2 linked regions of the Tamandua tetradactyla genome follow. The protein of the gene in region 1 interacts with the protein of each later gene in a biochemical or structural test. Links are inferred from orthologs where the notes say so. Each region holds a gene or a part of one and is shown in the gene's direction. Other genes may lie near its edges. The genes, in order: PIAS3 and MITF.

The links.
Region 2: the proteins of PIAS3 (region 1) and MITF form a complex in vitro, tested with the Homo sapiens proteins (2 studies listed by BioGRID). The link is inferred for Tamandua tetradactyla from reciprocal best matches to the Homo sapiens genes PIAS3 and MITF.

Annotation. Positions count from the first base shown.
Region 1 is NC_135330.1:1,345,333-1,357,765, reverse strand, and holds the start of PIAS3 (E3 SUMO-protein ligase PIAS3), read left to right. Parts: upstream 1-7,687; 5' UTR 7,688-7,767; coding exon 7,768-7,791; intron 7,792-9,839; coding exon 9,840-10,257; intron 10,258-10,358; coding exon 10,359-10,443; intron 10,444-10,590; coding exon 10,591-10,674; intron 10,675-10,902; coding exon 10,903-10,993; intron 10,994-11,470; coding exon 11,471-11,605; intron 11,606-11,782; coding exon 11,783-11,888; intron 11,889-12,256; coding exon 12,257-12,330; intron 12,331-12,404; coding exon 12,405-12,433. Other genes in the region: ANKRD35 (ankyrin repeat domain-containing protein 35), read left to right, coding at 1-16, 1,315-1,404, 1,642-1,707, 2,288-2,350. UniProt on the Homo sapiens protein: Functions as an E3-type small ubiquitin-like modifier (SUMO) ligase, stabilizing the interaction between UBE2I and the substrate, and as a SUMO-tethering factor.
Region 2 is NC_135341.1:14,358,329-14,370,781, reverse strand, and holds the start of MITF (microphthalmia-associated transcription factor), read left to right. Parts: upstream 1-6,069; 5' UTR 6,070-6,230; coding exon 6,231-6,334; intron 6,335-12,453. UniProt on the Homo sapiens protein: Transcription factor that acts as a master regulator of melanocyte survival and differentiation as well as melanosome biogenesis.

The DNA of each region.
Region 1 (12,433 bases):
GGACAGGGAGGCCCAGGTGAGTGTGTGTGGGCTGGGGGAGGGGGTCCCCTGCACGGGGGTCTGGGGGAGGGGGGTCCCCTGCACGGGGGTCTGGGGGAGGGGGGTCCCCTGCACGGGGTCTGGGGGAGGGGGGTCCCCTGCACGGGGGTCTGGGGGAGGGGGGTCCCCTGCACGGGGTCTGGGGGAGGGGGTCCCCTGCACGGGGGTCTGGGGGAGGGGGGTCCCCTGCACGGGGGTCTGGGGGAGGGGCATCCCCTGCACGGGGTCTGGGGGAGGGGGAATCGCCTGCATGGGGTCTGGGGGAGGGGGTCCCCTGCACAGGGTCTGTCCCTGAACCCGTCCGCAGGGGTCACACAGCAGCCTAAACTAAGCCTGGGTCGCCTGCAGTCTATTACACTTTCTATGAGACATGTTTTATGAACTCCAAATAATCCATTTACAAATGAATTTAGTTAATTCAAGAACTGCCTGTGAAATGAGTGAATCCAGACATCTTACTAAAATGTGTGCATGATCAAATTAAGAATGTTATAAAACATAAGCAGTATCAGTTTTACATAGTACAGAGCACATAAAAAACGGAAGGAATGTCGTGCCTGTAGGAAGCGGTGTGGGGCGGGGCAGGTGCACAGAGGAGCAGCTTATGTTGAAGAGGAGACACTAGCAGACGACTGGGTAAAGGGAAATCGAGTGTCGCGGCTGGGAATGTGGCCTCTGGGCTGAAACGGTCTGGACTTGAATTTTGATTTCAAACCTTACCAGCTGTCGTTCCTTGGGTAGGTTATCTAACATGCTGAAGTCTCAGTTTTCTCGTCTATAACATGGGGATATAGTAATAGGGCTATTGTGAGAATTAAATATTACATTTAAAGTGTCCAGAGCCGTGTTCGGCATGTGATGTGTGCATCCGCTGAGGCCACCCTCCCTTCGGCCACCCCTCCCGCTGCCACGGATCACCAGGAACTGTGTCCCTCGTCGCCTCCCAGCCCGCACGACCTCGTGTCCCCTCCCCCCGGGGTCAGCAGCAGGACAAAGGAAGGGCCCAGACCCTGGACTCGAAGAGTTCTTGGTTCAAGTCATGATGTCCTCACTTAGCAGCTGCTTGATTTTGACAAATGACTTCCCCAGGCTCCTTAGCGACACAGTGTGGACAATACTACTTACTTCACAGAGCTGTTTTGAGTGTTAAATGAGAAAATTCTGGTACATATTCAATACCCCATAAAAGGAAGCTGGCCTTGACCCTGGGCCCCACTGGGCTTCCAGTGAAAAATGACATGGCCTTGTGGGTTCCATTTGCTCCTTTTGGCTCAGATCAAGGAATTGTTGAAGAAGCTGGAGCAGCTGTCAGAGGAGGTCCTCACAGTTCGGGGAGAAAATGCCCAGCTCGCCCTGCAGCTGCGGGTATGCCACCGACAGAGAGGGGGGCAGTGAGGGGACACAGGTGGGAGACTCGGCTCTGGGCATTGCAGTGGACTGGAGGAGGGCAGTGGGTCTGGCGGGGCCAGTGACAGGCCAGAGGGGCCCATTGGACCACTGGGACAGGCAGCTGTCCCCTCCCACTGCTCCTTACGCTCAGGGGGTTGGGGTGTGGGTGGGTGGTGGCCCCTGTCCTCCCACTGATGCCCCCCCCCCCCCCAGGACTCCCAGAAGAGCCACGAGGAGATCACATCTGCCTACAGGACTCACCTCCTGAACGCTGCTCGGGTGAGCATGGCGCAGCACCGGGGGCAGGCAGGGAGCTGGGCTGTTCCCTGCAAGGTCTTGGTCTTTCTCCGCATGTGTCACTGTCACTTCTCGGCCAGCTGCACCTCCCGTGGTCCAGGGCCACGAGGCAGGGCAGGGCGGTCACGCGTGGCCGTGCAGGGAGAGGTGCTTACCCTTCCTTTCAATCCCTGGTCCACAGCAAGACCTTTTCCTTTCTGTTCCGAGTTCTGTCCTAGGTCAGCACACCCCCATCAAGGAAGCAGAGGTGGGCGGCTCGCTCCTTTATCAGGTCTAAGAATGACCACAAAGAATGAAATGCCTGTTGTGTACCAGGTGCTTCGTATGCTTTACATCCTGCATGCCAGTCCATGGCAGCAGTGTGTGGCCCCCACGGCAGCCCTGGAAGGGGGCAGCGTTATTTTCCTTGTGACACTAAGGCGTCAGTCATGGAGAAGTTAACTTCTGTGAGGGCGGGCACATAGCTCGTGAACGGCATTCTGCTCTGCCCTAGAACCCCTTCCTCCTCGTCCTCCCCATTCTCGGCCCTTCACCTCCTGTTCCTTCCTCCCGGCGTCCCCAGGGCTGCATGGAGCGGGACGTGTACGACATCTTGCTGCGAATCCTCAGCATGCAGGAGGACTGAGCCACCTGGTGCGGGCGTGGGATTCCTCTGTTGTGAGTTGTGGGCTGAGGGGGGAAGGGGTTTGGGAGGAAGGACTTGGAGATGTCCCGGGGGAAGGGAACTGCAGTCCCTGTGCCTCTGCCTGCTGCGGGGGCCATGGGCATGTGAGGCGAGGTCAGTTGAGGACACCCAGGGAAGCACGGGGGCATTAGGGTCAGGTGAGCAGGTGGACAGAGCGGGGCTGACGCATGGGATGGGGTTGGGTGACTTCCCCAGTGCTGGGGTGAGTGATGGTGGGAGAATAGTGCGAACTGGTCCCCGGTTTGCCGAGCCTCCCCTCACGCCCACACCTGCGTCCAGACATTGACCCCCCTCCACTCTCCTCCCCCGCACAGGGGGTCGTCTCCTCCAGCCCCGAGGGATGAGCATCCCCTTGGCTTCTCGGCATGGGCGGGAGGAGACTGGAGACGTGGAAATTGTGCATCTTATTCTCCAATTTCTTCTTTCAGGAAACAGGAGCATCCCCAATTGCCCGAGGCCCCGCCAGGCTGGGGCAGATGGGAGGTGGGGGCGCTCCCCAGGGCGGGGGGGGGGGGGCAGATGGGGGGCGGATGGTGCTGATGCTCCCCAGAGATGGATGGAGGGTGCTCCCTGGGGGTGGATGGGGGGGCACTCCCCAGTGTGGTGGGGGTGGAGGGGGGGTGGCGGGGGCGCTCCCCAGGTCAGCGGGGACAGGGCATCACCTGAAATCACAGACTCGAGAGTCTGGACCCGGGAATCAGTACGGATGGGACAAAGGAGGGGTTGGAAACTGCTCTGTGAAAAATGAGCAAGAGGCAGGCGGTGCTGGGGGTTGTTTCTTTGTGTCCTGAGGGGACCGTGGAAGGGTCTTGTCATTCCCTTTTGATCACAAATGGTCTCTTGCGGCTTTCCAACTATGATTAGAGTCCACAGTAAGAAATATGTTTTACATCCTGTTCGTATGAATCTGAAATAAAACTTACCCTTATAATTTCTAATTCTATTTGTATCCTAGCCTATATCTTCTGCTATTATAAAAAAAAAAAAGTTCATCACGATCCACCCACTAGTTTGAACAACAGAGTTCTCAGCAAAAATGGGGCTTGATGGACTTCCCTTCTGGTCTGAGATCTGTCCCTTACGAGCACAGTGCCATCCTTCTTCTCTACTTTGGGACTCCGAGTCTGTGATCTTTCTTTTTTTTTAATTAAACATAACAACATACAAACACCAACATTCTTACCATATGATTATTCTGTTCTTGATATATAATCAATAACTCACAATATCATCACATATTTGCTGATGATAGTTGCATATTCATCATCATGATCATTTCTTAGAACATTTGCATCAATTCAGAAAAAGAAATAAGGAGAAAACAAAAAAATTCTTACATACCGTACCCTTTACCACTCCCTTTCATTGCTCACTAGCATTTCAATCTACTAAATTTATTTTAACATTTCCCCCTATTATTTATTTATTTTTAATCCGTATGTTTTACTCATCTGTAAATAAGGTGGATAAAAGTGCCAGACACAAGGTTTTCACAATCACACAGTCTATGAACTTTTTTAAGGGATTGAGAGATGTAGATTTTCTTCAAGACGTACAAACTAAAATTATTCTATTTTGTGAGAGACCATGTGTCTAGACTTGAGAGTTTATTTTTTACAGTCACTGTCTTCACCCCAGGTGCAAAGAGGGACAAGTCTGAGTACTGGGAAAGGGAGGAAGGGACCCCAAGAGTTGGCGTCTTCTCTCCGGTGCTGTTCTCAGACTGTAAAACCAAATCTCTTTTGGTCCCTTCCCCAGGGGTTCCCCCCTCCCCATCCCTCCACGAGGCAGGCTCCAGTGAGAGGAGGCAGCGAGGGCCTCCAACATGGGATTGCAGTTCCGCCCTCCCAAGCCCTCCCGCCTCCCACGTGCCCCCTGCCCGCCCCCTGCTCCCTCTGGGCGCCCCCTCAGGGCAGCAGAGACCACGTCGCCTCTCTACCAATCAAGCTTCTAGAAGCCCCAGCTCCAGGTGGGGACTGAGACAAGCAGGAAAGTAGGGTGAAAGCAAACGGGAGGTAGGGACTATGTGAGGTGGTGGGAAAATAACTTGTTTTTTGAATAGTTTTACTCCGAGGCTTCAGTTTTGGACCATTCTGTGCAGGAGCTGAGCCTGAGCGGCTGGGTTGAGAGAGGAGGGGAGGGACAGCCATGGGGATGGGCCATGCCAGGGTTGCAGAGGCTCCTCCAGGGCTTGGCCAGGAAGAGAAGAGCTGGGGTATGTGGGTCAGGTTCTAGAAAAGGTGCAGGTCAGCTTGGGAGTTTGTGTGGGTGGGGCAGGAGAACGGAGAGAGGCGGATCGGCTGGAAATCATGTTAAATGGTTATGGTTAGATGTGATAACGTATAAACTAAGATAGGAGGTGTGGACCGAAAGAAAAGTCTTAGAATTTGGAGAAGGGGAGAAAGGGTGCAGCTGTCACCGGAAAAGCATCAGAAGGGGCCGGTCACTTCTAATAAGGGGAACAGAACCTCTACTTTCCTGACTGCTGAGTTACCAAAGGATGCAAAAGCACTGTTATATTCCTTATTTTACATGGGGTATGGGGTGGGAAGCACGAAGAAACCGCAGAGAAATGGCTAAACTTCTGTATGAGTCAAGAAACAGCTTAGGGAATGGAAGCCAGGCGTCTGGCTCCTTCCCGGGCCCTGGAAGCTAACGCCTGGGCGTCTGGACTGTGGGGAGGTGAGGGAGGTTACGCTAACACCACGGTAGGGCTTTCTCCAGCCTCCGATCTTCCCACGTAAACTCCCTCTCTACCATCCAACAACTCCTGGAAGTTTCCTTGATTTCAAAAATCCTTCTCTCACAAAGTCATTCTAATCCTAACGTCTCCTCTTATTCCTCCCAGGATGGATGTTTGAGGGAACTTGGTAGGGAATTATTACTCCTGGTCCACCCCCCCGCCCAGGCCGGTCCCCAGATGTAAAAGTGTGAAGGGAAGTGCAGGGGACCTGGAGGTGAAGCCCCATCAGGGGGTTCGGACTATGTCTTTGATGTCTGTGATCTGGAACTTGAACCTGATTTGCAGCCTCTCTCCTTTCCCTGGGACATTAGCTTGTCCACAGGTATTTAAAGAGCCCACCACTTGCCAGGCAGTGGGTTCAGCAGGAAGAGCATGGAAAAGGTGTCTGTACCTGTGGAATTGCAGGCAGGACCTGATTCGGGTGCCTGGCTCCCAGCTGCCTTATCCTGTAGGGATGTGGAACTTACAACCTCAACTTAACCTTTAAAGGAGAGGTGCTTTTGTCATGAAATCCCTGGAAATCAAGGTGAGGTTGACTTTCTAGCCTTCTTTTAAACGTTTGCAGTATTTTTGCGGTAGAATTGACATACAATAACCATAGCTATCCAAAGTGTACAATTTGATGGTTTTGACATATGTGTATAACCTATAACCGTGAAACCATCTCCATAATCAAGGTCAACAACAGTTCCATCCTTCCCAAAGGCTCCCCTGTCCTGCCCCCTCCAGCAACCACTGGAAATTCTAGAAAATACTGATCTTTAGACGTTTCTGACGTAAAGAACTGGACCAAACCAAAAATGGGCAAAGGACCAGGTGAAGACTTGCATGTTGGGGAAGGCAGCTGGGACTTAGAAGCAAATTCTTAGCCTGCATTTAGCTTGAGCGGCCCATGACCAAGGAAGGAGCCCGCGTGTCAGGAGGGGCTGGACACCTCCCCCAAGGACACAACCAGCGTCCAGCAGGCCCCTAGGGCTATTGCAGGCTGCCCCTCGGTCATATGGCTGGGGGAGGGGCTCCTAGGAAGGGATATACTGGCGGCTTGAGCAGAATGAGGGGCTGCTCATATACATCACTGAAATGCTTTTCTTGCTTGCTGATGACTGGTTTAACATGTCTTGTCTCTCTGGCAAGGCTTTTGTGTCCTCAGCACCTAATAAACCCTGAACACCACTCAAATAGTCACTGAGCGCAATGGCAACATGACTTCGGCCCCGGCCAACTCTAAAGTGCCCTCAGTTTCCCTGTCTCTGGCTCCACCGATTTGCTCTGTGGCCTTCACAGGAGTTACCAGCTGGGCTAAGAATGGGACCTCCGAAGGGGCCGGCCTCGGGGAAGAAGAGGAGATGGTTCAGAGAGGGTCAGAAAGACCCGCCCTCAGCTACACCTCGGTGTGGGGTCTCTGGTGTCCAAGTGTGTATCTGGGGGTAAGGGGGGCACGCGTTGTGGACCTAGGGCCGGGCACAGTGAATTCGGAAACCCGGTGTTTCCAGACGGAGGGAGCGCAGCACACCAAGCAGTAAGCGTTCCTGCGGTCGCACCCCGTCCGCCCCGTCTCATCTGGAAGGCCGCCCCTGCAAGGCCGCGCGCGAGGGGCCAGAGACGGCGAGAGGGGGAGATGGAAGAGCCGCCTCGCCACCTTTCCACCTCTCCTGGTGCCCGAGTGCAGCGCCCACTAGGCCCGGCCCCGCCCGCCAGGCCTAGGCCCCGCCCACCACATCCCGCCCCGGCCCCGCCCACCAGGCCTAGGCCCGGCCCAGGCCCGGCCCACCACAGCCCGCCCCGGCCCCGCCCAGTCCAGGGCCAGGCCCCGCCCACCAGGCCTAGGCCCGGCCCACCACAGCCCGCCCCGGCCCCGCCCAGTCCAGGGCCCGGCCCCGCCCGCCAGGCCTGGGCCCGGCCCACCACAGCCCGCCCTGGCCCCGCCCAGCCCAGGGCCCGGCCCCTCGCGCGGCCCGGGCCCGCTGACCCTGCAGGGGCGGCCCCTGGCCCCGCGCTGGGCCGGGCCGAGCTGCGGGCTGTGGCCGCGCGTCCAGCTGCCCCGCGGAGCCCCGGCCCTGCCTACGGCGGGAGCGGCGCCCCCCGCCCCCGCCCGCTCCGGACGAGCTGGTAAGTCCCGTTCTCGGCGCCAACTTTTTGGCTGCGGAGTGTGAGTCCGTGGCTGCAGCGTGGCCGCAGCGTGGCCGGGGCGCGGGGCCGGACGGCCGTCTTGTGGAGCAGAGGCTCCCGGGCGGGGGCGTTGGCTACGGGCTCTTCGCCCCACCTCTGCCGCTGCCTCTCCGCCTTCCGGCGAGCTGCCGCCCCAACGCCCCTGCCCCAACGCCCCTGCCCCTTCCCTTCCCCTAGCCCCTGCCCCTGCCCCCTGCCCCCGGTTCCCCCGGGGTGACAGGCTCGCTCCCCCAGCGCGCCCTTCCCCGCGATCCCCCGGGCCGCCCGTCGCGCGCACCCGCAGGGGCCGGGGCCGGGGCCGGTCGGCGCGCGGGCGGGGCCTGGGGGGAGGCGCGGAGCCGCGCGGGCGGGGCGGGGCGGGCGGCGTCTGCGGCGGGCGCCGGGGCGGGGAGTTGCGCGCCGGTCCCTGGGCCTGAGCTCGGGCTGGGCTCGGCGATGTCTCAAGATGGCGGAGCTGGGCGAGCTAAAGGTGCGGCCCCTCCCCCCCGTGGGGCCCAGCCGGGCGGCAGCCGAGGCCGGGCGCCGCTGCGGGGCGGGGGCGGGGCGGGGGCGCGGCGGGCTGCTGGGCGCGCGGGAAGGGCTGCGGGCCGGGCGGGCGGCGGCGCGGCCCGGGGGCGGGGCCGCGGGCAGATGCGGGGAGGGGCCGGGGGCGCCGTTGCGGGGCCGGGGCGCAGGGGGCGGGGCCGCGGGCAGATGCGGGGTGCGGCCGGGGGCGCCGCTGCGGGGTCCCGGGCAGATGTGGGGTGCGGCCGGGGGCGCCGTTGCGGGGCCGGGGCGCAGGGGGCGGGGTCCCGGGCAGATGCGGGGTGCGGCCGGGGGCGCCGTTGCGGGGCCCGGGCGCAGGGGGCGGGGCCGCAGGCAGATGCGGGGAGGGGCGGGGGGCGCCGCTGCGGGGGCCCGGGCAGATGCGGAGTGCGGCCGGGGGCGCCGCTGCGGGGCCGGGGCGCAGGGGGCGGGGCCGCGGGCAGATGCGGGGTGCGGTCGGGGGCGCCGCTGCGGGGCCGGGGCGCGGGGGGGCGGGGCCGCGGGCAGATGCGGGGTGCGGTCGGGGGCGCCGCTGCGGGGCCGGGGCGCGGGGGGCGGGGCCTCGGGCAGATGCGGGGTGCAGCTGGGGGCGCCGCTGCGGGGCCGGGGCCTCGGGCATATGCGGGGTGCGGCCCGGGGCGCCGCTGCGGGCCGAGCGCGGGCCGGCTGCAGCGTGGAGTCGGGCTCTAGCGGGGAGGGCCTGAGCAGGGCCCGCGGGTACGAGGTGTGCGGGGTGGCCTGGGGCAGACCTCGGGAGGCCCCTCGGGGATGTGGACCGCGGGTAGGAGCTCGGCGGATCCGCGCCCTGGGAGCTGCCCGTAGGCGGAGGGGCGGCAGCGTCCCGGAGACCAGGACCCAGAGGGTGGGCGGGGAGGAGGGGAGGCCACGGGCTTGGCGAACAGGACCGAGCTGGGCAGGCTGGGGAGAAGGGGGCAGGAGCGCGGTTCTCAGCACATTTCCCCGAAGGGGCCCAGGCCTGCGTCTGCCATCCCGGGATGGAGGAACCGTGGAGAGCCCCTTTGAGACTCAGGGAAGGCGTCCTTTAAGGAGAGAGCCCTTAGTGCTGCCTGGTCGCCCCGAGGAGGCCAGCTTGCCAAACCTTAGCTTGGGTCCAGCCAAACCTAGCTTGGGTCCAGCCGTCGGCCTCCAGGTTTTGTGTTTTTCCCCTTTGGGTTGGTCCCCTGGGAAGTGCCAGCAGGGTTGGGGTCCTACCACCGGGTGCTTGTGAGTTTGCTCCTGCTTGGGTGTCATGTGTTTTCTCAGGGTCCCGGGGCCTGTTTAGGGCTTTGCGGGGGCCTCTTGTACCCCTGAGGGTGGGGACAGGGAAGGCACCCAAGAGAAGCAGGACGATAGCTGCTGGCAGATGGAGTAATAGGTCACTGGGTCCTGTGGTTCACTGTGACCCTCTCCCCAAGTTTCATCCTGTTTCTCAGAGCAGGTTCTGCTGGGGTAGGATTTGGGGGAGCATCGATTCCCGACCTGAAGCCCTGACTACAAAGCTCAGAGCCCTGGGCCAGTCACTGAGGGGGACGGGTACTGGGCGCAGCTGTCCGGCTGCTGGCCCCCCTCCTGGGGCTTCCGGGGCTCTCGGGCCTGAGTTCCCTCTCTCCTCCTCCCTGTCTCCAGCCTCCTTCCAGGAGGCCGGGATGGGTCTGAGAGTCCGAGCAGCAGCAGGGGGGACATCAGCTCAGGGGGAGCTTCAGGGGCAGAGGCTGGAGGTGGGGCATGCAGTGGCTCTGCCACCCGTCCCCCCGGTCATTTCCAGGTCTGGGGTGACAAGGCCCCTCACGCTGGTTCGGCACGGTGGGTTGAGCGGGGGCTGCTGACCTGGGACTGAGCGATCCCCTTGGCCAAGCTGCCGGCCACAGCCTGCCAGTGGCCAGACCTTGAGTCAGGGCTGAAGGGAGGTGGCAGTGCCCACCCAGGAGCCATCGCAGTGTCCCAAGGGGACAGGCCCGCGGGCTGGCGATCTCAGGGCCTCTGTCCCCGCAGCACATGGTGATGAGTTTCCGGGTGTCCGAGCTCCAGGTGCTCCTCGGCTTCGCCGGCCGCAACAAGAGCGGGCGCAAGCACGAGCTCCTGGCCAAGGCCCTGCTCCTGCTCAGGGCCAGCTGCGCCCCCAGCATCCAGATGAAGATCAAGGAGCTCTACCGCCGCCGCTTTCCCCGCAAGGCCCTGGGGTCCTCCGACCTCCCCCTGCTCCCGCTGCCCCCTGGCACCCCGCCTGTGGGCTCCCCCGGGCCCCTGGCTCCCATGCCCCCTGCCCTCCTGGCCCCTGGCCCCCTGCTGGGCCCCAAGCACGAGGTGGACATCCCCCCCCCTCCGCCCCAGCCTGTGCACCCCGACGTCACCATGAAGCCGCTGCCCTTCTATGAGGTCTACGCAGAGCTCATCCGGCCCAGCACCCTTGGTAGGGCACCCTGCCCCCCAGCCCCCTGGTCCTAGGCTCCAGCCCCGAGGGGTCCGCTGCCTGTGCTCGGGCCTGGAGATAACTGCCCCTCATGCCCCCAGCGTCCACGTGCAGCCAGCGGTTTGAGGAGGCGCACTTCACCTTTGCCCTCACCCCCCAGCAGGTGCAGCAGATCGTCACATCCAGGTATGGCCCTCTGGCCTCCCCCTCGGGGCGGGCTCAGCCCTTTTCCTCTTTCCTCTCCTCTGGACCCTGCTGTCTCTCTCTCTTGTGTATCTCTTCCTGGAACCGGACTTCTAACTCCACGCCCCGTCCCTTGGCCCCTGCCCCTAGGCGCCGCAGGCTGACTCTCGCCCTCTCTTCCAGGGAGGTTCTCCCGGGAGCCAAGTGTGATTACAGCATCCAGGTGCAGCTGAGGTGAGTGCCCCGGCCCCACCTGGCCCTGCGGAGGGTGGGACACGCCCGGGGGAGTGCAGGGGCAGGATACATGCCCAGGACATACTCCTGCCCAGCCTGTGTCCCCCAGCCCTGGGCAGCTGGGAGCCAAGGCTGCAGAGGCCACATGACCTATTTTCTGGGGTTCCCTGGTCTCTCCCAGGTTCAGTGACAGACCTGGCTCCCTTTCACCTCCCCGCCTGTCCCCAGGTTCTGTCTCTGCGAGACCAGCTGCCCCCAGGAGGACTATTTCCCTCCCAACCTCTTTGTGAAGGTCAACGGGAAGCTGTGTCCCCTGCCGGTAAGTGCTCCCCTGGCAGCAACCCCTCCCCGTCCCGTCCGCACGTGCCGACTGCTCGCCTCTGTATACTGCACCAGCAGGGTCAGGGTGGCTGCGGGGAGGGGGCCATGGCCCTACTGTCGCGACATCTGTGAGAGGGAGACACATCAGACAGGCCTGTGCGCTGTGGGCGCCGTTTCCTGGGCCCGTCGGCATTGCCGGGAGGGCGCCAGGACGGGGCTGGGTGGGGTCCATGGGGTTCCCTTGGCCCACCATGCAGGGCCCTGCAGCCTCGAGGCACGGGGGGAGGATTTCTGTCCCTCTGCCCGGTGGTGGAGCTCTGCCTCCCACAGCCCACAGCCTGGGGTCAGTGCACGGGCCGGTCACCTTCCAGGGGACAGGTGGCCCAAGACAAGCTGTGTCTAGTGTTAGCGCAGAGCCCCTTCCTGGATGGACCCCAGCCTGCCCACCCTCCCCTGACCCGCCGTCCTTCCGCAGGGCTACCTCCCGCCCACCAAAAACGGGGCTGAGCCCAAGAGACCCAGCCGCCCCATCAACATCACTGGCCTGGCCCGGCTCTCAGCCACTGTCCCCAACACGGTGGTGGTGAACTGGTCGTCCGAGTTTGGACGGGTGAGCCCGGGGAGGCTTGGTGGTGCTGGGCACACACAGCAGGGGCCCCCATGTCCTGGCTGGGGGGTGCGTCCCGCCCTCTGGTTTCTCCGTCTCAGCCCCGGGTCTGCCTGACGGGGCTCGGGTGGCTTTGCGGAGCGCGGAGGCTGATGGCCGCTCTCCTGCCACCCGGGGCAGAACTACTCCCTGTCCGTGCACCTGGTGCGGCAGCTGACTGCGGGGACATTGCTGCAGAAGCTCAGAGCCAAGGGCGTGCGGAACCCCGACCACTCGCGGGCGCTGAGTGAGCGACGTGCGGCCTGACCCTGGACCCCACGGCGCCTCTCGGCCCGTACTTGCTGTCACCCGCCTCACCCTGCCCTGCCCTGCGGCCTTACGGCAGCTCCTCATGGACCCTAAACCCAGGCCTGCCGGGCACGTGCCCTCGCGGCCGTCTCAGCTGGCCCTTAGGGACGCTCTGATCCCCTGTAGGTCACCTCGGCCTAGGCGTCCCCCAGCTCTGCCCATGTACCCGTAAGGGGGGGGTCTCCTCCTGATCAGGACCCTGCGTGCTGCCCTAAGCTCCCCCGGGCTGCCCCGCGGCCGTCTGTCCCTCTCCAGGCCCGCTGTCCATTTGCTGACTCCATTGCTCTGACTTGGCTCCTCTTCCAGTCAAGGAGAAACTGACCGCTGACCCTGACAGTGAGGTGGCCACCACCAGCCTGCGGGTGTCCCTAATGTGCCCGGTGAGCAGGGACTCGTGGGGACCTGGGGCAGGGCTGCGCAGGTGCCGAGGCTGACCTGGACCCCCGCCCTCCAGCTGGGGAAGATGCGCCTGTCCGTGCCCTG
Region 2 (12,453 bases), on another chromosome or scaffold:
TCATGTGCCTTCACTAGATCAGTTCTGTGGAATGGCTTTTGGAGTTGTTCCTAGCTGCATGGCTTCTACACTAGGTTCTGGTCTTTCTTCATTCTCAGGTCTTTCTTGAGATTCTGTGAGCTATTCAACATATTTTCCATAAATTCCTTTCTGCTTAAATCATCCAAAGACAATTTCTGTTAGTTTTGTTCTCAGAACATAACATGTACAACCCTGCTTCCATAGCTTCCTCATGTCCATTTTCTTTCTTTTTTTTAATGACATGCTTTTCAACATAATTTTATCAGAAATTCTGCCTCATTTTTACTAAGGTGGTTTCTTCTCATGCTTTTTTTTTTCATAACGGAAAATTTCAAACATACACAAAAGCAGAGAGAATAATACAGTGAACTTCCATTACCCATCATTCAGCTTCAACCAGTATCCACATTTTGCCATTTATGTTTCATCTTTTCCTTCCCCTACTATTTCCTGAGTTGAAAGGAGAGGAGATGGGTCCATATATCCTATTGTCTCACTCACAAATACATTGTTTCTATCTCTAACAGATAAAGACTTAAGGTCCAATAGAAATGGTACAATGCTATTATTACACTTAGTAAAATTAACAATAATTCTATAATATCATCATTTCAGTTCATGTTCAAACTCTCCCAGTTTTCCCAAAAATGAAGCATTAAGTTGTTTTGTTTTAATCAGAATACAAAGTTTGCACAATATATTTGGGTGATATGTCTCTTTTCTTTCTTCAGTTCATTTTTTGCTGAGATGTAATTCACATACCTGACATGTCTCTCACATCTCCTTTTTTTTTGTATGCTGTATAGCGGGGTCACATTTCATTCTTTTTCCATGTGAGTATTCCATTATTGTAGCATCATTTGTTGAATTTTGTTTGTTTTTTTGGTTGGTTTCTTTGTTTGTTAGTTTGGCAAGTGCATGGGTGGGAATCGAACCCAGGTGTCCTGCATGGCAGGCGAGAATTCTACCACTGAGCTACCCTCACAGCCCCCTCTTAAATCTCTTTTAATCTATAACAGTTCCCTTTCCCTTTACTTCATGTCATTTTTATTTTTTAAAGGAGCTTCTCAATTTCTGGATTTGTCTGATTTCATCTTCAGGGTGTCATTAGCAACCCCCTATCATTATTTTTTCCTCTAAATTGTTGGTTGGGTCTAGTGACTTGATTAGATTATTTACAGGATTTTATCCACTAAATTACCCCCTCCCTTCTTAAAGATTTAGCTCAGTTACATCTCCTTCAAGAATTCTTCCTCACTATCCTTGCCCTCAGTGGTTGCTTTTTTCTCAGACATTTGTGACATTACCTTTCACTCTATTTATCTGTTAGATCACTCCTATTCCTGAAAAGACAGACATTATGTCTTGTATGCAGAGACCACATATGTCTCATCACTGCCTTTTCCCTCGTATCTAACAAACAATGTGCCTGGCACAGAATAGGTGCTCCATTAATAGTGGGTAAGCTAAATGGATATGAGAGTTTGAATCATCTACCATCTATGTGCTGCTTAGCATTTCCTGCCTTAAGTGTAGTTTTTCACTGTGTTATCAGTCTTCATTCAGTTCATAGACTGTAAGCCTCTTAAGGGCAGGAAGTAGTTTGAGTACCTAACACAATGCCATGTCCAGAACATGGGGCACATGTTCATTGCATAATGAAACAGTGACCTTTGGTGTCTATTCTCGCAGGATTTTTGTGAGCTCAAATAAGAGATGAATGCGAAAAGCATTCTGTAGAAAGAAAAGTGTAACATAAATATAGATAATATTACCAATGAAAATACTTATAATTTCTAGCTGTTCCTTTTGTGCTTTTAATAGGCACAGTTCTCAGTTGAAATGAATAGAGCTATGGACTTTTTTCTTCACCAGTTTTCAGATGTGGCCCTGCTCCTAGGGTTCAATGCATTAATGAAGAGGGATTACAGGTGCTATCGATCAGGTGACCAGCTTTTTGTTACATGGATTGACGGTGTGGCAGTCCATAGAAAAATGTTCCTTTCAAGGAGTGAAAGGTTTTTTATACGAAGTACTCAAAGCTCTTTTGGTTGCAAGTGGCAAAATTTCCAACAAAAACATTTTCGGCCAAAAGGGATTTTGTTTTGGTCTATATATCTGAAAAGTTGAGCGATATCTGACTTCAGGTATGGTTGGAACAAGGCGTAGAAGCAATGTTATAGTAATTTCTCTTTATTTCTCAGTGTTCTAGTTTGCTAGCTGCTGGAATGCAATATACCAGAAATAGAATGGCTTTTAAAAAGGGGAATTTAATAAATTGCTAGTTTACAGTTCTAAGGCCAAGAAAATGCTCCAAGTGCAAGTCTATAGAAATGTCCAACCAAAGACATCCATCCAGGGAAAAATACCTTGGTTCAAGAAGGCCGATGAAGTTTAGGGTTTCTCTCTCAAGTGAGAAGGCACATGGCGACACAGTCAGGGCTTCTCTCTCAGCTGGAAGGGCACATGGCGAACCGGCGTCATCTGCTAGCTTTCTCTTCTGGCTTCTGGCTTCATGAAGCTCCCTGGGAGGTGTTTTCCTTCTTCATTTCCAAAGGTCACTGGCTGGTGGACTCTCTGCTTCGTGGTGCTGTAGCATTCTCTGCTCTCTTTGAATCTCCCATGCTCCAAAATGTTTCCTCTTTTATAGGACTCCAATAAACCAATCAAGACCCACCCAAATGGGTGGAGACATGTCATCACCTAATCCAGTTTAACGACCACTCTTGACTAAATCACATCTTCCAGGGAGATGATCTGATTACAGTTTCAAACATACAATATTGAATAGAGATTATTCTGCCTTTATGAATGGGATTTTGATTAAAATATGGCTTTTCTAGGGGGCATACATCCTTTCAAACCAGCACACTCAGTTTAGCTTGTTTCTGCTGCTCTTTGATTGTGGATCTCATCTAATTCTTTCCCATTTTAGGTTAGCTACCTTATGTGGTCATAGTAAATAGTTCCAGGCTTTCTTCCTTCCAGCACCATACTTCCAAAAGCCAGAGACAGGCTTCCCCAATTGCCTAGCAGAAAAGTCCCAAGGAAGACATCTGGTAATGTTTGGGTACCTGTCCATCTCTAAAAGAATCATGTGGTTAAGGAAATGGGGAGTTCTGACTGGCCAGTGGGAGTCTCATGCCCACTCCTCTTAGGTGGTAGATGGCACTGCAATCGAAACCCCTGCTACATGTAATGGAGAAGTTTTCTTGAACAGAGGAAAAAAATGGAGGGAAATAGCAGGTATCTGTGTGTGCCTCAAGACAACCTCAGAGCCTGCACCCCAGGCATCTCTATGGAGGGTGCCCCTAGTTGGAGGTAAATTCAGGAAGTCTCAGCATTTTTGACAGGTTTTTCTCCATCACCTCTTGTTCCTTAGGTCTGGTAGGCCACTGTTCAACATAATGAATGACGTAATGGAATGTTTCATTATGCTTCTAAAGAGGTTATAAGCTGCACTTCTAATGCAAAGCTCTCGATAGCTTTCAAGTATTCAACAGACCAAAATCAAGTATAGAATTTTGTTTACATTTGTGTTTTCTCCAGAGAGGATGCATAGCTTTCCTCAGATTCAAAAGCTTCTAGTGAGCCAAAAGATTAAGAAATCCACAATATTTCTCAATGGGGGTACCACTAACATTTGAACAAGAAAGTTCGTCATTGTGCGCAAAATGTTTAGCATTTCTGGCCCATATCCCACTAGAATGCCTGTGATACCCCCAAGTTATTTTGACAATCAACCCTTCCTCCCATATTCCACATGTCTGTCTAGAGTTGAGACCCCAGGTGAGTCTAGGAGTCCAGATAGACTGAATGGACCCTTCATGTTTTTCCTTCTTCTTCCTTCTGGCAGGGGATAACACTTCTTCACTTTCAACATCTGACTTCCAGGAGTCTCTCAAAGAATCAGAGATCCCATATTCATGGGCATGAAAAGCCTATTTTCCTCAGGAGTGCTTTGAAGTATTCTGTCATGTTTTAATGGTTATAGTGAAGGACCTAAAAGTAGTACTTTGGGCACCAAATTTTATTGTGGGAATTTGGAAATCGCTACTGCAATACAGTATACCTTCTGTACTATTTCCAAATTTCCTTAAGATCCCTAGAGATCTTTTCTGATTTGAAGCTAAAATGTTCATTACACAAAAAAAGCAGGTACTCTCTGTTAACTCTGCAGGTAAATTTACTGCTCTCATCCCTATGTGGGACATGACTCCCAGTGGTATAAATCTCCCTGGCAATGTGGGACCTGACTCCCAGGAATGAGCCTGGCCCTGGCATCATGGGACTGAGAAAGACTGCTAGGCCAAAAAGGGAAAGAGAAATGAAACAAAATAAAGTTTTGGTGGCTGAGTGATTTCAAACAGAGGCAAGAGGTCATTCTGAAGATTATTCTTATGCGCTTATAGATATCCCTTTTCAGTTTTTGGTGTATTGGAGTAGCTAGAGGGAAATGCCTGAACTATAATCTGTAGCCTTGATTCTTGAAGATGACTGCATAACTATATAACTTTAACGGTGTGACTGTGTGACTGACACTCTCTTTATCCAGTGTATGGACAGGAGAGTAAGAAAATAAAGACAAAATATAAATAAATAATAGGGGAGATGGGATGTTTTGGGTGTTCTTTTTCATTTTTATTTTTATTCCTATTTTTATTGTTCATAGAGTAATGAAACTGTTCAAAAATCAAGTGTGATGATGAGTACACAACTATATGATAATATTGTGAACCACTGACGGTATAGTTTGGCTCATTATATGGTATGTGAATATATCTCAATAAAATTGCATTAAAAAAAAAACAACAACAGGCAAATGGGCAACTCCTGGGAGATGACCAATCATTAGTCTAGACTTTTTACAGTTTTGTTCTATGATGATCATAAGCTCATTACCTCTGAAAGGAGAAATACACAGGTGAAATGCCAGACTGAGATAAATGTCTTCAAGATATAATGAACGAAAGAAAGATCACTGAGTATTATTTTTATAGATTACAAAATCACTTTCTCTTGCAAATCTCCTCGTTTATAGAAGAAGAAATTGAAGCTTCTAAAATCAAGTGACATGCCCAAGATCACACAGTGTTTCTGAGCAGGACTTGGGATTTGATTCTGGTTTTTTAACTTTAGATGCCATCCTCTAACTCTATACTGCCTGTCTAATGCATTAAAACACTTTTAAAAATAAGGAACATCTCCTACTAGAACTACTCAGAGGGAAGCGCTGAAAGTACAAATGAACCGTAATCGATTGAAATTTTTTTTTTAATGTTACCTGAGTGTAGAGAAGTTCAGGAGGAGGTTGACACTTGGACGGTTTATATAGCCCACAACTTTATTCTTGAAATGTTATTACGATCTCATTTGAGTTCCCAGACAACGGAGAAATTAAAAACAGACAGCGCCAACGCTGTTTTGCAACTTAGTGCTTTCTTAAATCAACCGGACTTTAAAAGTGCTGCTTTAAGATTATAAGTGGATAACTGGATAAAGAGGAAAACAGCTAGATGAATAATATTCTAAAAGCCCAGACCAAGCTAAAAAAAAAAGAACGCATGAGAACAATTTCTACAATAATGCTTTAATTACTAGGTGAAAGTTCCTCACTCTGTTCCAATCCGAGGACAAGTTGACATGTCGCAGCAGCCCATGGAAGTCTGCGGGCTGATAGGAAGTTCTTTTATTAAAGGCAAGCTTGAACGCTAAAACTTCCTAGTGCCAAAACTTTTTGACGTCTCCTCGCACATGTCTGAGCTGTGGAAGAGCAGGGATGAAACCGTTCTTATTAATATAAAATAGTCAATTATGTACCCTTGAAGCAAATGGGAAAAGGGAGAGGAGCTGCTGACATTGACAATGAATCCAAACAGGAGTTGCACTAGCGGTGTCCACCACGTTGCCTATCCACCCGCCTGGCCTTGTGGGAGCTGTAGTTTCAGCTGGAGCAGCTCCCTCCGCGAGGCCGGAATGCCCCACCCGGGTCGAACTACAGATCCCAGACAGCGCTCGGCTGCCGGCCCCTCCCGCCCGAGTGCGAGTGTAAACTCACAGAGCCCTGGCGGGCGGCCGCGCGGGTAAGCGGGCTGAGCTTGGCACTGTGCCGGGGCGCACCGCTCAGGGGACCCAGGCCCTGCCACCTTCCTTGAGCCCCCTGGCTCAGTTCTTACTTTCGAACTGTGGAAGGACGAGAAACGGGAGCCATGCAGTCAGAATCCGGGATCGTGCCGGATTTCGAAGTCGGGGAGGAGTTTCACGAAGAGCCGAAAACCTATTACGAACTCAAAAGTCAGCCTCTGAAGAGCAGGTGAGTAGTGACAGCTGGAGGGAGGCACGGCGGGCGGCTGGGGGGTCCCGCGCCTCCCATCCTGGGCCAGAGACAGCTAGTTGCCCGGGCTCTCGGACAAGGACCCCGTGCCCTTGCCCCCAGGCAGAGGGCGAACTACCCCTCGCAGCTGGGGCCGCGCCATCCCGGCCCGTGCGCATCTGGGGATCGGTGCGAGCGCACTCTGAGGGGCGCCGTGGGTCGCCGGGGACGACGGGGGTCACGGGGACCCTCGATAGGGGATGTCAGCTGCTGTAACCAATTGGGGGCTGGGGAGAGACCCGCACGGAGGTGGGGGAGGAGGAGCGCGGGGTCGGGACACTGCTCCGGGGAAAGGGGGTGAAGAGGGGGTGCAGTTTCTAGTGAAACCCTTTTCTGAAGATCCTCGTGGGCCGATTGCTGGGAAAGGGAGATTTTGAGATAGATTGAGACGCCACGGTCGGGGGAAGCAATTAGCTTGTCGGTTCTTAGGGAGACTGGCCTCTCTCTCGGAGGAACCCGCCCCTGGCGAGTCTGGGAGAGTTTTCCCGGGGCCCCGCCTCTCACCTACCTGATCCGCTGCGCAGAGAGCCAAAGAGGCTGGGGGCAGCAGGTGGGCGTGTCTAGGTTAAACTCACTGGAAGTCTCGTCCATATCCAGGCCTTCCCTGGAGAACAAAAAGCCTTAGGCCTGGGACATAGTGGGGGTGTCTCCTGCCTGGCACCAGCACCCATTTACTTTGCTGTGGACTTCAGAAACTTCAGAAGGAGAGTGAAGATACCTGGTTGGCCTGGCTTCTCACCACCTCTGATGCCCACTTCCTTTGCGCCGCCCTCCTTTACTATGTCCATTACCACTTGCCAGTTGGAATGGGTTGGGTATTTTCCTTTTTGTATGCCCTGTGGCTGTTGCGGACCCCTTGGACCTCTCATTTCTGTTGTTTACTGAGAGGAAGTATGGTCAGTTGAGGCTATGAGAGCAGAGAAGAATTTATTTCCACCTCCCCCAACTCAATTGCGTGATAAGACTGGAAGCTTTTAATTGAGCTTCTGCGCTCATCTCAGACCTTGCTGTCCAGCCCTTAACTCTGGGTAGGGCCTGGGTGAATGGGCCTGGTTGGTAGACCGGGAAGAAAGTTGGAAATCAGGGTAAATGAGGAAGGGAAACTAAATCAGGAGCGAGAAGGTATAACCTTCACATTGGGAGAGCACATTCTGGTACTTGGTTTTGCAGATGCTGAAGCAGCCTCTTTGCAAATGCTTACGGGAGATTGGAAGGAAATGTCCTATGCAGTTAGGAGGATAAAACCAGCCTTTAGTTGGTGGTTTCTCTTCATAATGGCTGTTTTGTGTGTGTTGGGGGCTGGGGGTTTTGGGTTATATTGTGTAAAGGGTATTGTTGCTTATGCTCATTGGGGCTTTATCTGCATCTGCCTAAAGGGACCAGTGTTTTAGCAAGCGAGCGCTCCCCGCTTTTGCTTCTATAAGCAAATGCTTACATGGCCACAATGAGGGAGTATGCGTGCGTGTGTGGGGGGAGTTCTAAAAAAAAATGAATTAACTGGACTCTTTGGAACATTTTTGATGATAGCTGATACATAACATTAAATTAATTTGAGAGAGTGAGGAAAACGCCATCTGGAAAAACACAAATGAGTGGCATGAAACTCATGGTGAAGGATTTGGGCCTGTTCTTTTTCAGAGTCGGCAGAAATTTATGTGTAAGGGTGAACATCATCGTAGCTAGCTAGCTTGTGTAAAGAAAATTGTGGGGATGTGGGAAGAAATGGCTTCACACGTTGAAGCTAGAAACAGGTGTGGGACAGAACCGGTATGGAGAGAAAGGCTAAATTAAAAAAGTTGTTGCAAAACTTGTGTGTGGAGCAGACACATGCTATTTGAAATAAACCAGTTAAATAAAATCTGCGAATAAATATATGGGGTTGGCAAAATTTCCCTATACTGTTTTCCACAGTTTTCTAACGTATTGTCATCGACATCTGTTGTGTCACTTTGAAAGGGCTATACGTTGTTCAGGATCTTGTTATTGCTTTTTGTCTTAAATCTTTGCTGGGGTGCCTCACTTCTTATAAGTCTTGGTCAGGAAAAATGTTGAAACTAAAACATTAACATTGCTGTAGCCATTGTGTCTATCTCAATTATTGTATTCTCCGGACTGAATCTCCAGATTCCCCCAGGAGTTGAAAATGCCTAGAATCTGCCCACTTCTCCACCAACTCCTCTTCTACCCCGTGGTCCTCACCACCATTAGCCCTCTCCTGGATTCTTGCAGGAGTCCCTTAATTGGTGTACTGCCTTCTGCCCTTACCTGCTTTTAGTGGATTTTCAACACAGCAGCCGCAATGTTCCTGTTAAAACTGATTTCCCCCGGGGACAGATTTGCCTCCCAGGGAACATTTGACAAAGTCTGGAGACAGTTTTGGTTGTCACTACTGGGGATATGGGAGTTAATGGCCTCTAGTGGGTAGTGGCTAAGAATGCTGCTAGATGTCCTACAATGCAGCGCCTCCCCACAGCACCCCATCCCCGTCCCCAACAAAGAATTAATCAGCCCCAAATGTCAGTAGTGCCTAGAGTAAGAAACCCTATGTTAAAACATAAGCAGGATCTTATCATTCTCTGTTCAAACTCTTCCAATGACTCCTTGTTTCTCTCAGATAGACTCAAAGTCCTTAACATGGCATAAGACAGGCTATATATATGGTCAGGCTCCATGTCAGCTCTGGCCTTATTTGTTATTACAGTTTTCCTTGCCGTTCCTGGAACACAGGCCCTTTCATCTCTGTCTTTGTACTTTGTATTTGCTGTTCCCTCTGCCTGGAATGTCCTTTCCTCAGAGAGTCACAGTGCTCACTCCCTCACCAATTTCAAGTTTTTCTGTGAATGTCATTCCTTTTAGGCCTGCGCCGACCTTGCTGTTTGCAACTGCTTTCTCCAAACTCTCAATCTTGCTTATGCTGCTCTGTTATTTTCCGTAGTACTTATAGTCTAACCTACTATATAATTTTCTAATATGTTACGATTATTATGTTTCTCTCCACTAGATGCAAGCTCCAAGGGAACAGGGATTTCTGTGTGTTGCTTGTTCACTGCTGTAGCCGCAGAGTGTAGTTTTTCAGTCTCAGCTCTATTGACAGTTTGGGTTGGATAAGCTTTTGTTCCGGGGGTCTGTCCTGTGCATCGTAGGATGTTTAGCGGCAGTCCCTAGGCTCTTCCTTACTAGAGGTTAGTAGCACCCATTCCCCCCAGTCGTGACAACCAAAAATATCTCCAGACCGCCAAAAACGGGAGGTAATTGCTCCTGTTTCACAACCACAGGCCTAGAACAATGCTTGGCACAGAGAATGGGCTCAATAGATATTTGTTATTTAAATATGTTGTTTCTTTCTCCTTTAGTAACTCCACCCAGGATAACAAGTTTTTGTTTTTTTTGTTTTTTGTACATTCAACATTGTGTTCCTTTTAAAATTGATATCCATTGGGTCTCTCATAAGAGGACTTTATATGCTGTTTATCTGGGCTAAGCTCAGATATCAAATGTTTAAGAGGAAAGGCGTATTTCATTCCTAACCCAGACCTCCTGGACTTTCGGGACATGAGGGTGCTGGATTTAGATTATGTGAGCTCTGCTTTGGACCTGTTGACTAGCGAGGTTGTGTCCTGTGAGGACACATGCTATGAGAAAAGCCTCTAAGGGAGAATTGCTTGTACTTTGGTTCCCCCAGTGAGGTTTTTGAAGTTTGCGTGTGATCTCCTGGAAATGAGTTCTGAATGGTGGATGACAGAAGAAAAATGCAGACTATGGAGAGTGAACCCAGAACTGACATGTCGGCACGTTCAGGGACACACATTTGGAGCTGTTGAATGAACTCCTGGCAGCTAAGGAACCCTGTGCATCATCTTTTGGGCCCTAAAACAACATTTTAAAACGTGGTTGCATCTTTAAGCTTCATGGTCCTTTGGTTTGTTTTTCTTAGTGCTAAACTCTATGGCTTTGTCGTTGCGGATGCCCTTTTCCTGGACAGTCTTCAGAATTGGCTATATTTAATCGCAAATTCTTCTCTTTTGAAATGTTTAATGCTGCTTTAGACAATTGTTATTTAACTTCCTGCAAGCCAGAAATGGGAATGAAAAATGAATATTAGGCTTGCAATATTCCAGAGAGGATAGAGCAGTGGCTCCCAAATGCTGATTCATAGAGAGGTGTGTGGTTTTCACAGATTTGTGGTGAAATGCGAAAGATAAAGACTGTTGTGTCATAACCACACGCATATTTGGATGTAAGGCTACCTGCCATTTCTCAGATTTATTCTGAGATTTCACCCTCTTTGTTCATATTAAAAATATCCTTTCTTTTTGAAATAATACTTTGTTCTTGGCAAAACAAAACTGTCAGTCTTGTTTTGGTTTCTGAAACTTCTCATGATTTTTCTGGTCCAATCTGAAGTGATTAAGACAGAGATTAAGAGCAAGGTTCTGGCTGGCTGTGTGCTTAGGGTCTGGCTAGGAGAATTTGGAGAGGCTGGGTGGCCTCTAATTTCAGTTCTTTCATCTGGCATATGGATTCGTAGGGCCATCAATTGTCACACTGACTGTGGAATAGTTTTAGCATAGTGCCTGCTATATAGTATGTGCTCAGTAAATGTTACTGGCTGTTGTTGTTTTTGTTATTTTCATTGCTACTCAGCAACGAGTCCTGACATTTTGGAAAATGACATTGTTCTCTAAGTCCAGTTTTCCTATGCAATAAAATTCCCTCAATTTTAGTAAACTTTTTTACTTTCCTCCAAATGAGGATGTTTAGATTGAATTCTGTAATTTTTATTTTTGATCCAATCCGTAAAACTTCTTTTATGCTGGATAAAAAAATAGCCATCATGACATCAGTGCCTAAAAATTCATATTTGACACACATTTATTGAGTTCTAGTATATGCAAATTAATACTTATTATGACAGTTAACATTTATTGAGCATACATTGTATGTCAGACCCTGTTCGTAGAGTTTTTTACTTGCGTTAACTTAATCTTTGCAATGAAGTAATATTAATAATAAAATATTAATGATACTCATTCTATTTTAAAAACAGGCACAGGCTTACTATGTGCCAAATATTGTTCTAAGTATTTTACTTAATTAACTCGTTTAATTCTCATGTCAACCTTGAGTATATGTACTTTTATTATTCTCATTTTACACATAAAGAAACTGAAATATGGCACGTAGATGGTACCTGGATTCAAACAGGCAGTCTGGCTCCAGCTTCATACTGTTGTCCCCTAGTCTTTGCTGCTGTGTAGAAGGCACTGTGCATGATTGTGGGAAATCCAAAGGTGCATCATACTGTACTTTTTTTCCAAAACTCCCAGTGGGGTAAGCGAAAGACAACACTTGGATCCAGCTAATCATACAAGGCAGAGTGTGATCACTGTAGGGATGTGTACATCAGCAGTGGGAATTTAATAAAGGAAAAAGGATGTTGGGAGGCATTTTTACGCAAGATTAGCTGTGTTTGAGTTTGGTCTTGAAGATTGAGTGATACCTCAAACATGTTTCTCTATAGCACTCAATAAAATATTAGACACCTTGGGGAAGGACATAATCTTTTTTTTTTTTAATTGGGCCAATTAAGTCCTAGCCTGTCTTTTCATTTTTTAAATATTTTTATTGAGATATCTGCACATACCATACATCCACTCAAAGTATACACATCATGTAGTTGTATATTCATGACCGTGATCAGTTTTAGAACATTTGTATCACTCTAGAAAAAGAAATCAGGAGACAAAAGGAAAAACCTATACATCCCATATCCCTTACCCCACCCCTCTCATTGACCACTAGTATTGCAATGTACCCAATATTTTTTATCCCTTATCCCCCCCCATTACTTATTTATTTTTTGTCCTTGTTTTTTTACACATCTGTCCATACCTTGGATAAAGGGGGCATCAGCCACACGGTCACATTGTAAAAGCTATATAGTTATATAATTGTCTTCAAGAATCAAGGCTACTGGACTACAGTACAGCAGTTTCAGGTGATTTGGAGGACATAATCTGAATGTAGACTGAGTGGGCTGGTGTAAAGTTTAAAGGGAG